Linked DNA regions of Ovis aries. The protein of the gene in region 1 purifies or fractionates together with the protein of each later gene. This does not show direct contact. Links are inferred from orthologs where the notes say so. Each region holds a gene or a part of one and is shown on either strand. Other genes may lie near its edges. The genes, in order: VSX1, USP12 and WDR20.

Region 1 (4,267 bases):
AGTTATGGCTTTGCTAATCTCAGGAACAGCTTGCGAGGGGGAGATTTGGGTCTTCTTTTAATAATGAAAAGTTAATGCGCAGCCTCTTGTAATTATCTTTATCGGAAGCCCCTCGCTTAATCCTGGGGTTTGCAGAAGACCCAGTTGGGGGCGCAGACTTTGCCGGATTCAGCTCCAGCTCGGGATCCTTCTCGGCTCCGGCTAGTCCCGGCTCCGGCTCGGCTCGGCTCGAGCTCGGGCTCGGCTCGGGCTACACCGCGGGGTGCGCGCAGAGACCCACCAGGCGCCCACGCTGCGCTGGGAGAGCTGCCTCACCCCTCACTGAGCGCCTACTCGCCGCTTGCCCTCTGAAGGGCTGTACTGAGAGGTTCGGCTTCCCGGATCCCGGGTTTGAGAAGGATGGACTCCGAGCGATTCGGGTTTGGTAGGCTCGGATTTTCCGAGTGGGAACCAGGAGAGGTTTACCCACGTGCTGCGTTTCGAGACAACTTAATACGGGCGCCTTACGTGAAAATCAGGCTTTCTTCGAAAAATTATAAAATCTGACATTAATTTGCTAGCTTCTGTGTGGGGTGGGTCCCAGTAGACACGCCCTATTTTCCAACTTACCTTCCCCATTTAGGGCTCGCCAGATAATATACTGGTACACACTTATAATTTTAAAACTCACTGTTCATCTGAAATTTCGATTTCACTGGACCTCCTGTAATGCAATTTGCTAAACGTGGCTTCCTTGCCCTGGCCGGGTTAGTCCGCTCAGGCCTGTCTCTACTTCTTCTCCAGCTCCCGTGAATTTTGCGACCTGGGACAGTCCGGCCGCTAGAGCGCTGGGGTGGGTTTGGCTGGAGGTGGAGTAGGCACGGATTAAATAAATGTTTTCCACTCCTTTCCCCTTGGGGATTTTCAGGGAAGGCCTTGGCTCAGGCGGTGGCATTGGAGGGCTGGCGGGGTTCATATTGGTGGTGATGGGGAGAGTGCGGCTGGGAACGGGGTCTTGGTCTTAATGGACGACTGGATGCGGGGAAGGCGGGTCTGTGCCGGGCCTCCACCGGGGAATCCACCCGGAAGGGGAGAGAAGACTCCGAAGGAATCTGGAACTTTCGGCGTTTAGAGGTTTAGGGAGGGGACGACTCGCGCCGAGAACCGGCGTGGGGTTGGTAGCGGGGACGACTGGAGAGGAGAGAGGAGAGGGTGCTGATGGAGGGGACCGCAGCTGGGAGGGCGGCGACCAAAGGGAGGGGGGCAGGTGGCGTCCCCATGTCGCGGGGTCCCGGGCGTGACGCGTCCGCGCCGCGCTGATTGGAGCCCTCCGGGAGCCCGACTGTATAAAGCGCTCTCAGAGCTGCGCCCCCTCCGCGAAAGTGACGGACCAGAGGGCCCAGCTTCGCCGCTGGAGAAGCCATGACCGGCAGAGACGCGCTTTCCGACGGGCGTGCCAGAAGCAGGGCGCTGGTGCCCGGAGGCCCGTCCACCGGCTCGCGCCCCCGGGGCTTCGCCATCACCGACCTGCTGGGCCTGGAGGCCGAGCTGCCCGCACCTGCGGGCCCCGGCCCGGGATCCGGGTGCGAAGGCCCGGCAGCCGCGCCCCGCGTGGGCCCAGGGCTCGGAGGCTCCTGCCCAGCACGCGGAGCCCTTCCGTTGGGCCTCGGTCTCCTCTGCGGTTTCGGCGCGCAGCCCCCTGCGGCTGCCCGGGCACCCTGCCTGCTCCTCGCCGACGTGCCCTTCCTGCCGCCCGAGGGGCCTGAGCCCCCCGCTCCGCGCTTCCCCGGCCGCCCACTGCCCTCGGCCGCCCGCCAGAAACGCAGCGAGAGCGTGTCGACGTCGGGTAAGGATGCCAGTCCGCGACCCTACTGTCTCTTCCCTCGGCTCGGGTGGGCAGAGTGACACTCTGGCGCCCCGTCGGGCCCCACCCCAGTCCCCCAGATCTATAGAAGTGGGGACCCTAGAGCGTAGCGGCGCCGGGAGGCGCATTCTCGCACCAGCACCCTCTGCGCCCCTGCCCCCGCCCCCGTCCCGGCCTCTCCTCTGGGCTTGGTCGCCGCCACCCCGCGGACACCACCACCCGATCAGGACCCGCCCTGGGGTCTCGGCGACCCAGCCTCCGGGGGACACTTTCCGCCACGCGGGGCTCGGCCTCTGGGTGCCGCAGGGGTCGGGAAACCTGGGTGGGCCTACCTTGTTTATCAGCGGCACGGAACCCGGTACCCGCCGGCTCCAAGAGGGATTAGACAAACCGATTGACGGATTGACAGGCCCTTGAGCGCCGGGCGGAGGCCTGGATCTGTCCTCCTCCGGGTGCTGAAGAGCGAGTCTGGGCACCCCGCTTCTCCCCTACTCCCCTCACTGGAGAAGCGGGCTCTCCCTCTTACAGCAGCTGTGCCCAGATCCTCAGAGAAGTCGGCACGGACTGTAGAGTAAAGCAGGGAGCGGTGGAAATCGACAAAGACAGGGCGGAGAAGTCGAAAGGTTTGGGGCATGGGGGAAGAGAACGGAGAATTTCAGAAGAGTTCGAGGGAGAACAGCTATGTGATAGTAGACCGCAGAGCTGAGCATCCAGGCGGCTGAATGCAGAAACTGCGCTGGTCTCCACTACTGATTAAAGGAAGCAGGCGCGGTCGGCAGACACTCACTCTGAGAGGACTTTATTTCATGAGTGTCTACTAGGTGCCAAGTTGCTTCGGTCCTGTCCGGCTTTTTGAGACCTGATGGACGGTAGCCCGCCAGGCTTCTCTGTCCATGGGATTCTCCAGGCAGGAATATTGGAGTGAATTGCCATGCCCTCCTCAGGGGATCTTCCCGACCCAGGCATGGAACCTGCATCTCTTGTGTCTCCTGCATTGGCGGGGGGTTTCATTACCACCAGTATCTAGCAAATAACCACCCCCTCCATTAGTTGTCTCACTAAAAATGCAGGAACCGATTTCATACTGTGGATTTTTTTTCCCTGTGAGGACCCACAAAGCTAAGGGAAAATACAACCACATCCTAGCCTGTGAGGGTATTTCTCAAGACCAAGACCAATAGTGTCTTGTGGAATCGTCATGTGACTGGGAGTGTAATGAAAGTTTCTTAGAGCCACAATAAAAAGGAAAATAAATAGGTGAAACAGATTTAAATACTATGTCTCATTTAATCCAATACCTACAAAATATTGTCATTGTATGTGTTATCAATATAAGAGTTATTAATATTTTACTCTGAGGGGGTCTATTGTTTTCAGTCTATTGGATATTTCATGCTCACAGCTGGTCTCAATTTAGACTGGCCACATTTCAGGGCTCCATAACCTTATGTATCTAATGGTATCAGATTGGACAGCACAGATAGTATAATATCATAATCCAATCTTCTGGTGAACTCACTGATGTAGGAGTAAAACTGATATTATTTTACTACTTTTGCTTTTATTAATTTACATTTAGTATTTTGAAACATATATGCTTTTTAACAACAAAGCTGACCATAGTTCGGTCTTCTAAACTTTCTTTCAGCTTAAATCTTTCAATATAATGGATTTCAAAAGATAAAGCATAGTGGAGTGGGTTCTTAAAATTTTTGATGTGCATCTGTGAATCATCTGGGTACCCGGGCCAAGAATGAGTTTCCCAGGTCCCACTTTCAGAGATTTGAAATTGGTACAGCAGGGCTGTCACAAACCTCAGTCTTCCCGTTGAGAAGTGGTGGCATAATGGCTAAGATGAAGAACGTGAGATGGAAGCAGAAGGAAGTGTATGGATTTGGAAGCTGAAGGGAACAGGAAATGCAATTAGTGTTCAAGTAGCTTAGGCTTCACACACATTTGGGGTTTGAATTCCAACTTCACTGTTGACAACCTTTGTGATCTTGGGACAAGTTAATCTCTCTGTGCCTTGGTTTCCTCTGTAAAAGGAGGATAATAATAGCAGCTGTCATGGAGGTTTTTTTTTTTTAAATTTATGAAGAATAATGTTGATATGCATGGGCAATCAGTTAAGTGCAGCACTTGGAATATGTCATCAGATGTGAAAACTGTGATCTTGTCTTGTTAAATATTCACATCCCAGACAAGTTCATAGCTTCAGTCCTCAAATTAAAATCCAGAGGGCAAAATGAAAAATGTGCTCACCTCTAAAGTCCTCTTCTTCTCCTTGTGCTAACAGATGAGGACAGCCCTTCTGAAGACAGGAGTGACCGGAAGGCGTCGCCGGCCCCCAGCAAGAGGAAGAAGAGGAGGCACAGGTACTAAGATCCCACATGGCGTTCCCCACCCCGCCTTCCTCGAGACCTT
Region 2 (3,276 bases), on another chromosome or scaffold:
TGTCCCTCCCTCCCACCTTCCTGCTCAGAACATGGTCAAGATAGCTGGGAGGGGGGGGGTCCACGTCTGTCACGGTCCTTAACCTCCATGGTCTGCGTCAGCCCATTTCCTGTCATTTATCCTCAGCAGTAATCTCGCTTTTCCATTTTTGGAGCATTCTGTTTCTAAAGTAAGTAAAGACATCTGAACAGAGGAAAACAGTATCAGATAACTTACAGAACCCTACTGTAATGATCAGACTGGAGGTTCATGTTAGCATTAAGGTTTTTTTTTTAAGTTTAAGATGTTTTCTTCTGCAGGGAAAAAGTACTCTCGTCATATCTTTCTGTCAACAAGATACTCATTTTAACTACGGGATCAAAGATCTGAAGAAACTGGGAGGCAGCTTATTCTCACATCTGAGGTTGCTGCTTTTAAAACAGTATTCAGAGCCATAAAGGATAATTTGTGTTGAAAATTTTTTCAAGGCCTATAATATAATAATTGTGGTAGAATTGTAATTTAATTAAAAATGATATAGGCTTTTCTAGTGAGTCATACTTAAGTAACTGGGAGCAGGTAAAAAAAATATTTGATATGTTCTTTAAAAAGAATTTCTTTTAGGGAATTTGCTGGTGATCCAGTGGTTGGGACTCTATGCTTCCACTGCAGGGAACATGAATTCAGTCTCTGGTTGGGGAATGAAGATCCCACAAGCCAAGCAGCATGGCCCCCCAAAAAAATAAACCCCACCTTTATTTTTACATTTTTCTAGATTTCTGTATCCCAGATTTATTTAAAATGAAATGCAGAGGCAATTATAATAATTACATGTTGCTAAGAATTAAATACTTAAAACTAGCACTAATAATACTAAAAATAAGTTATTTGTTTAGAGAAGTTTATGAAGTTGGAGCTTGATTGCAGATCCAAGATTTCAGTATCTTTTTCAAGCATCATGTGGAATTTTTCCTCAAGAAAAACTATTGCCAAGGGTTAAGATTCAGAAATAATTCTATGTACATTGTTCGACAGTTATAATTCAGTGTGTTCTGGCCTCTCCTGCCCCACAAAAATGCTAGAAATTTTATTTAAGTCTCTTGCAGAATCAAATTTGAACATTACTTCAAAAATAATAATTTTGAAAGGCAACAAAGAATTTTAATAGTATAGCTTTATATAGATAGAATACTGGTTATATCTCTCAGAGTACAGATTATTTTAAAATCAAATGACAGTTCAGATCAACGTAGCTTGATCTCTTGGGGGGAAAGAATAGGTAAGGAACATTTTTATCTGTTTCAGTTTTTCTCCTTTCAGAACAAGGAATTTAGAACATAGAAGAGTAATACTAATAAACTGTATAAAGCTAACTTTTGCTTCTCTCTGTTTTAGTGGTCCCAATCGAGGCCATTACATTGCAATAGTTAAGAGTCATGATTTTTGGTTGTTGTTTGATGACGACATTGTAGAAGTAAGTAGTTTCCTGATTTCTTGTTTTCCTTTAAAGTTGTGTGTGCATCTTGCTCGTGACCTTTTCCTTCCAGCTTCTCATTGTGTAGGACAAGTCTTCAGGTTGTAATCGAATCCCTACTTCTCTCCCTAATGCCCAGTTCAGTGCTGCTGGAACAGTCGGCTATCCTTGAAAATGTCTAGAATAAAAACAAGTGAGATCTTTCAACCACAGAGCTAGTTAAGAAAAGAAAAAGAACTTATACCGTTAAGAAAATAACTTACTGAGCTATAAGACACAGTTAAGTGTGCAGATTTTAAGCAACAGTTTAAATTGTTACATGTGAACACACACACGAGTGCACACACATAACTGCCGTCTAGATCAAGAAATAGTGTGTTTCAACACGCCAGCAAGCTCTGTCATTCCTTTTCCCCTTCAGTACCTACGGCTTTCCCCTCCCATCCGCCATCCCCTGGAACCCACTGTTTCTAATCTTATTGCCTTACTGGGGTTAATTTTGTCTCTGTTTGAATACAAGTGGACTCATCCAGTATGACTTCTTTGGTGTCTTTTTTCACTCATTCGCGTTTATGCAGTTCATTCTTGTTACTTGCAGTAGTGGTTCTTTTTTTTCTATCTAATTTTTCATTGTACAAATATACCATGTGAGAAACTTGGCTTTTTGTCCATTAATGATTATTAAAGTAAAACTGCCTTGGTTACCCTCGTACAAGTCTTTCTCTGATCATATGCACTCGTTTTTTTTTTTCTTGAGTATATATTAGGTTGGACCTTATGAAATTGCCAAGTCCATAGATCCCAGATGGTTGACAATCAGTTGTTTCTTATAGTTCATCCTGTACCTAGGAATAGAATTGCTGGGTCACAGGGTATGTTCAGGCTTAGAAGATGATGAAAGTATTTTGTCTGCGTCTGGTGCGGTTTTGCAGTCCCAGCTGTGAATGAGGGTTTCGTTTGTTCCACATTCTCACCAATACTGGGCATCATCCAAGCCATTCTGATTGTGCAGAGCTGTTTTACAAATGAGAAAATGAAAGACATTATCCTAAGAAAGGCTGAAGCTTTTACTGGATTCCAGGAGTCCGAAGAGCTCATTTTTCTACTGACGTTTGTTTTTTTCCCTCACAGAAAATAGATGCACAAGCTATTGAAGAATTCTACGGGTTAACATCAGATATCTCGAAGAACTCTGAGTCTGGCTACATCCTTTTCTATCAGTCCCGGGACTGAGGGAGCTGCGATGAAGAGAGACTTTCTGCCTCATTTCTTCTCTGGTTATTTGGGAAAAGATCAAGCACCGATTTTTTCCAAGAAAAGAGAACTGCGGGGAGCTCAGGGGGGCAGCAGCGCACTTTGCACACAATAAAGCAAAGGCTGTGGGTTAACACGCTCTTCCTATCCTGGTAGTTGATTGATTCGCTCAGGTATCATGCTGTCTGTGCAGCTCTGCACAAGGCAGTGGAATCAGAGATACCAGCTCCTCTTGTGGAAACAGCCTTCCAGTAACCGACATGCATTTTCTCTTCCTTCATTGCACCAGTAGTGATTGAGCTCCTTGGGGGTGCAGCAGAGAGAACGGGAGTCTGTGCGAGGTTATACTGACGATGGCAGGAGGTGATGCTGAACACGCCGCACACGCGCGCGCCTGGGTTGGACACACAGAGAGAGAACACTGGGTAGTCTTTTCGAGCGTAAACCAGAAATGCTTTTTGGGCCCAACACTTGCAGTCGCCTTCCTGATGTAAAGAGACTTAACAGATACTAGAATCCAGTGTCAGGAAGGCAAATAACGTTTGCTTCTCTGAAGAAGCTTATAATCA
Region 3 (3,648 bases), on another chromosome or scaffold:
CCTCTAGTCTGAACCTCCAGATCCACAGACCCAACTACCCCGGCCTCGCAAGCTTGACAAGCGGGAAAAGGAACTCTGACCTTTCGCTCTGCTCCAGCACCTGCTCCTTCCCCTCTCACCCAGTGCGCCTAGTGAGCCAGAAACCCAGCATCTGCTCATCTATCTCTCCAACTCCGTCTCCAAGATGGAGCCAGAGTAATTTTCAAAAACACCACGCAGACCACCTCTGGCTCCCCTGTGCGAGATTCCCTGCACGGAGGCCAGGCAGCAACCGTGGCCAGGCCCTCACCCGACACCCCTCTCCCAGGGCTCCTGGCCCCGGGTGCATTCCCACAGGGGCTGCCCCTGCTCTCCCTCCTGCAGGGACACTCCAGCTCCAGCTTCGTACCTGGGGGGGCCTTCTCACGCGAGGCGAGGCTCAAAGCATACCACCTCCTCCGAGACATGCCCCACGTCCCTGTCCATCAGGCGCTGTGTCTGTCTCTCTCCCTCAGGCCCACTGTCTCCTCTGACATCACAAGTCACCACCACGTGCCGTGTGAGTGTGTGTATGTGAGTGTGTGTGGCATTGTTCACACTTCTCCCCCCTCTGGAGGGGAAACACAGGGCAGGTGTTCTCTGCACACGGTCAGCCACCAAGGTCTGCAGAATGAATGAGGAAATGGTCCCAACCCCAGGTCAAGTCCTCAGCTCTCTCCTGGACAGTCACTAGAGCCTCCTCACTCATCTTGCTATCTTCATTCCAATCCGCCTTCCCCAAGTGCTGACAAGAGTTCGAAAAAAACACACTTGATCCTATCACTTCCTTCATAAAGTAAAACCCCAAAGGTTGCCCCACAGCCTCCAGTGTCAGATCCAAATTTCTCAGCATGTCACGAAAGGCTTTTGCAATCTGGTTCCAGTTCACCTGTCCAGCTTCACCTCCAGCCACTCCAAGGCCCACGCACTGAGGTCTGGACTCCTTTGTTGGCCTCATGTTCCTCCACATGCTAAGGTGTTTTCTCCAGCTTCGAAGGCCCTTCTCATCCTCCTCCAACTCCTCTGCATCTTTCAAACCCAGGTCAAATGTCACCTTCTGCAAGCTTTCTCAAACTTCCCTCGCTGAATTTTTGTTTTTATTTTATGGTATCTGGTACATCCTGAAGAGTGCAATTAATACTCACCTCTCTTGCTACTTTGTTCGTAACACACACTCCACATCCTCCCTGTCCATCTCACAGAAGAGTGAGCTCCAGAGGTGACAAGGCCCATATGGCAACCAGCTATGATGGGGCTTCCTATCTATGGCCAGTAAGGATGTGTGGAATTAATTTCTGGATCTAAGCATATCATCAAATTGCTGCCGGGTCTGGACGACTCACTTGCCCTCTCTCTAATTCCTTGTCTGCACAGTGGAGACAACAGCCCGCCCTCTCGTGCAGAGAAAGCAGGTAAAATACTCGGAAACCTCCAAGTCTCACATGAATGCAAAGCACGGCCCAACAACTGCTTCGACCACCATCCCTGGCACCCTCTGAGAAACAAACCTCCAATGACCCTGTCTCTAAGACATCCTGACCAAAATCTGATGAGAATGCTATCCGTACGACAAAGAACACCCTCACTGTGAAGGGCAATCAATTTCAGCCTCGAGCTGTAAATGCCAAGTTGGCATTAAACCACACACAATCCTCTCTCCCTTTGAACAGCCACTTTCCAAATAAAATGTACAAGAGTAGGAGGTAACTCCGCTTCACTCCCTGAGGGTGGGGAGCTGCAGCCTGTGGCTCCTGGCTATCCTGAGTGAGGAATGGGGCGAGCTGAGGCGATCGAGTGCTCTCGGGGCCCTGGGGCCTCTGCTGCACGCCACCCCCCTCCAGCGACGGCACACAAATCCTTCTTGTTCTCCAAGAGGCATGCTGTGCCATCCACAGCCGGGCGGCCTCCCGACCTTGTTTACCAACCACCCTTTACATGGCTCCAGTCCCTCCCCGCCGAAAGCACGTCCCCACCTAAATAAAGACCCTGCAGGATGCCAAGTTCGCGTTTCTACTGAGAGTGCAGGCAAGGGTAGTTTTGTACCCCCACTCTCCCCACCACCAACCTCCCCCCGAATCATCCAGCCACTTAGAAATCACTCCCTCAGATGCTGTTAATAAAATGTTTAGGGAAACAGAATAATTTTCTGCTTAAGATTTTTTTTTTTAAACAGAAAATGGGATTAAATACTTTTCCTCTCTAGTTTGTCAATCCAGATGGCAAGTTTTGTTCCAGTCAACCCAGATGAAACTAGAAGAGGAGATAGCATGGTTCAAAAGATTTCACCAAATCCATTGGCAAAGTCCAACAGGAGCACTGTGGATGGATACTGGATATACATGGACAGCATATACCATAGGGACTGCAAAAGAATCAGAATTTTAACTGCAATTTGTCAAGTGGAGTATTCTTTCCCAAACAAAATTATTTTCTTAAAAGCCAGAATCTGTAACTTACTTCTGTTTCAAGTTAATAACTTTTAGACCATGCAACAATGCAAAACCTCCTGCCCTTCCCGACAGGGGCTCAGGTGACCTGACCTCATCACCCCAGGGCTGAGGTTACAAGGAGACTGCAGCCAGGGCCTCTAACTCAGCAAGCCGACCTCGTCCGCTCCATTTACTAGGAAAGTCACACTGAAACAGCAGAGGAAGTGCATCAAATATGTAACGGCAAGACTTCAGACTAAAAAGCCACTCCAAAAGCTTTTAAAGATGTAATCCGTCCGGCAACTTCCATCTGCCCAGATTTAAAGGTTCTGACATGTTTCTGAACAAACAGCTCAGATCTCTTGGGCTCCATCAAGAATGAGACTGGAGACACCAGGAATCCCAGGACACAGCACAACACAGGCAGGAGCTTGTGCCATGCCAGCCAGTTTCAAGGGCCAGGACTTCTAACCACATCAGAGGTGATTTTAGAGCAAACGCTTTCAAGAGCAAGAGAGCAAATTCTTAGATGTATGCCTGTCAAACACACACATTAACACTTTATCTACCGTTTGCGAAAACTAAGGAAATATTAGCAAGTTCTTTGATCTGCTTGAAATTTTCTGGCGATGTGAACACAGTTTAGAATTCTTTATCTTCTTATTTAAATTATAAAGATCAAGCCTTATCTCCATTATAAAAACAATTTTTCTTAAAACACCTGCTATAGACACAAAAATGCACAAAATAACAGTTAGCCCAATAAAGAACAGGTAAAAGTCACCAAGTTAACGCACCACATTTAAACTTGGGTCATACTAGGTAGGACAGCTGAGGATGGAAAATGGGCTTCACTCAAAGAGTAAAATTATAAGGCCCATACCCTCGGTAAGAACGTATACATTCTTATAGGGGTTCTTAACAGCTAAGACAGGGTGCTACTTACTTCCTCATTAAATAGTTTGCTAGTTTCTTTTTTGATTGGGTCTATAAGCTGGACTTGGCCTGCGGAAAAGCCCACTAGGAGAGAGACACTTTCTGCTGTGGCTGTTAGGTGGTTGAAGTCATGACAAGTAGGCTGTGTTCCTTTGTATATCCTTTTATCTATTGGTTTACTCAAGTCAGCAGCCTGGAGGAGAAAGAGAAAAATACACACGGTAAACAGCACATTGAGATGAGAACGCTAAGTTACACTATTTTA

Evidence for each region.
Region 2: the proteins of VSX1 (region 1) and USP12 purify together in Homo sapiens (affinity purification with mass spectrometry; 3 studies listed by BioGRID and IntAct, counting the BioPlex papers as one, with this or other methods). This does not show direct contact. The link is inferred for Ovis aries from reciprocal best matches to the Homo sapiens genes VSX1 and USP12.
Region 3: the proteins of VSX1 (region 1) and WDR20 purify together in Homo sapiens (affinity purification with mass spectrometry; 3 studies listed by BioGRID and IntAct, with this or other methods). This does not show direct contact. The link is inferred for Ovis aries from reciprocal best matches to the Homo sapiens genes VSX1 and WDR20.

The regions. Positions count from the first base shown.
Region 1 is NC_056066.1:42,253,845-42,258,111, reverse strand, and holds the start of VSX1 (visual system homeobox 1), read left to right. Parts: upstream 1-1,401; coding exon 1,402-1,825; intron 1,826-4,139; coding exon 4,140-4,218; intron 4,219-4,267. UniProt on the Homo sapiens protein: Binds to the 37-bp core of the locus control region (LCR) of the red/green visual pigment gene cluster. May regulate the activity of the LCR and the cone opsin genes at earlier stages of development. Dispensable in early retinal development.
Region 2 is NC_056063.1:32,991,044-32,994,319, forward strand, and holds part of USP12 (ubiquitin carboxyl-terminal hydrolase 12), read left to right. Parts: intron 1-1,374; coding exon 1,375-1,561; 3' UTR 1,562-2,584; coding exon of another isoform or gene 2,585-2,686; 3' UTR 2,687-3,276. UniProt on the Homo sapiens protein: Deubiquitinating enzyme that plays various roles in the regulation of the immune response and inflammation.
Region 3 is NC_056071.1:64,661,373-64,665,020, reverse strand, and holds part of WDR20 (WD repeat-containing protein 20), read right to left. Parts: intron 3,577-3,648; coding exon 3,390-3,576; intron 2,381-3,389; exon of another isoform or gene 2,209-2,380; intron 796-2,208; coding exon 692-795; intron 1-691. UniProt on the Homo sapiens protein: Regulator of deubiquitinating complexes. Activates deubiquitinating activity of complexes containing USP12. Anchors at the base of the ubiquitin-contacting loop of USP12 and remotely modulates the catalytic center of the enzyme.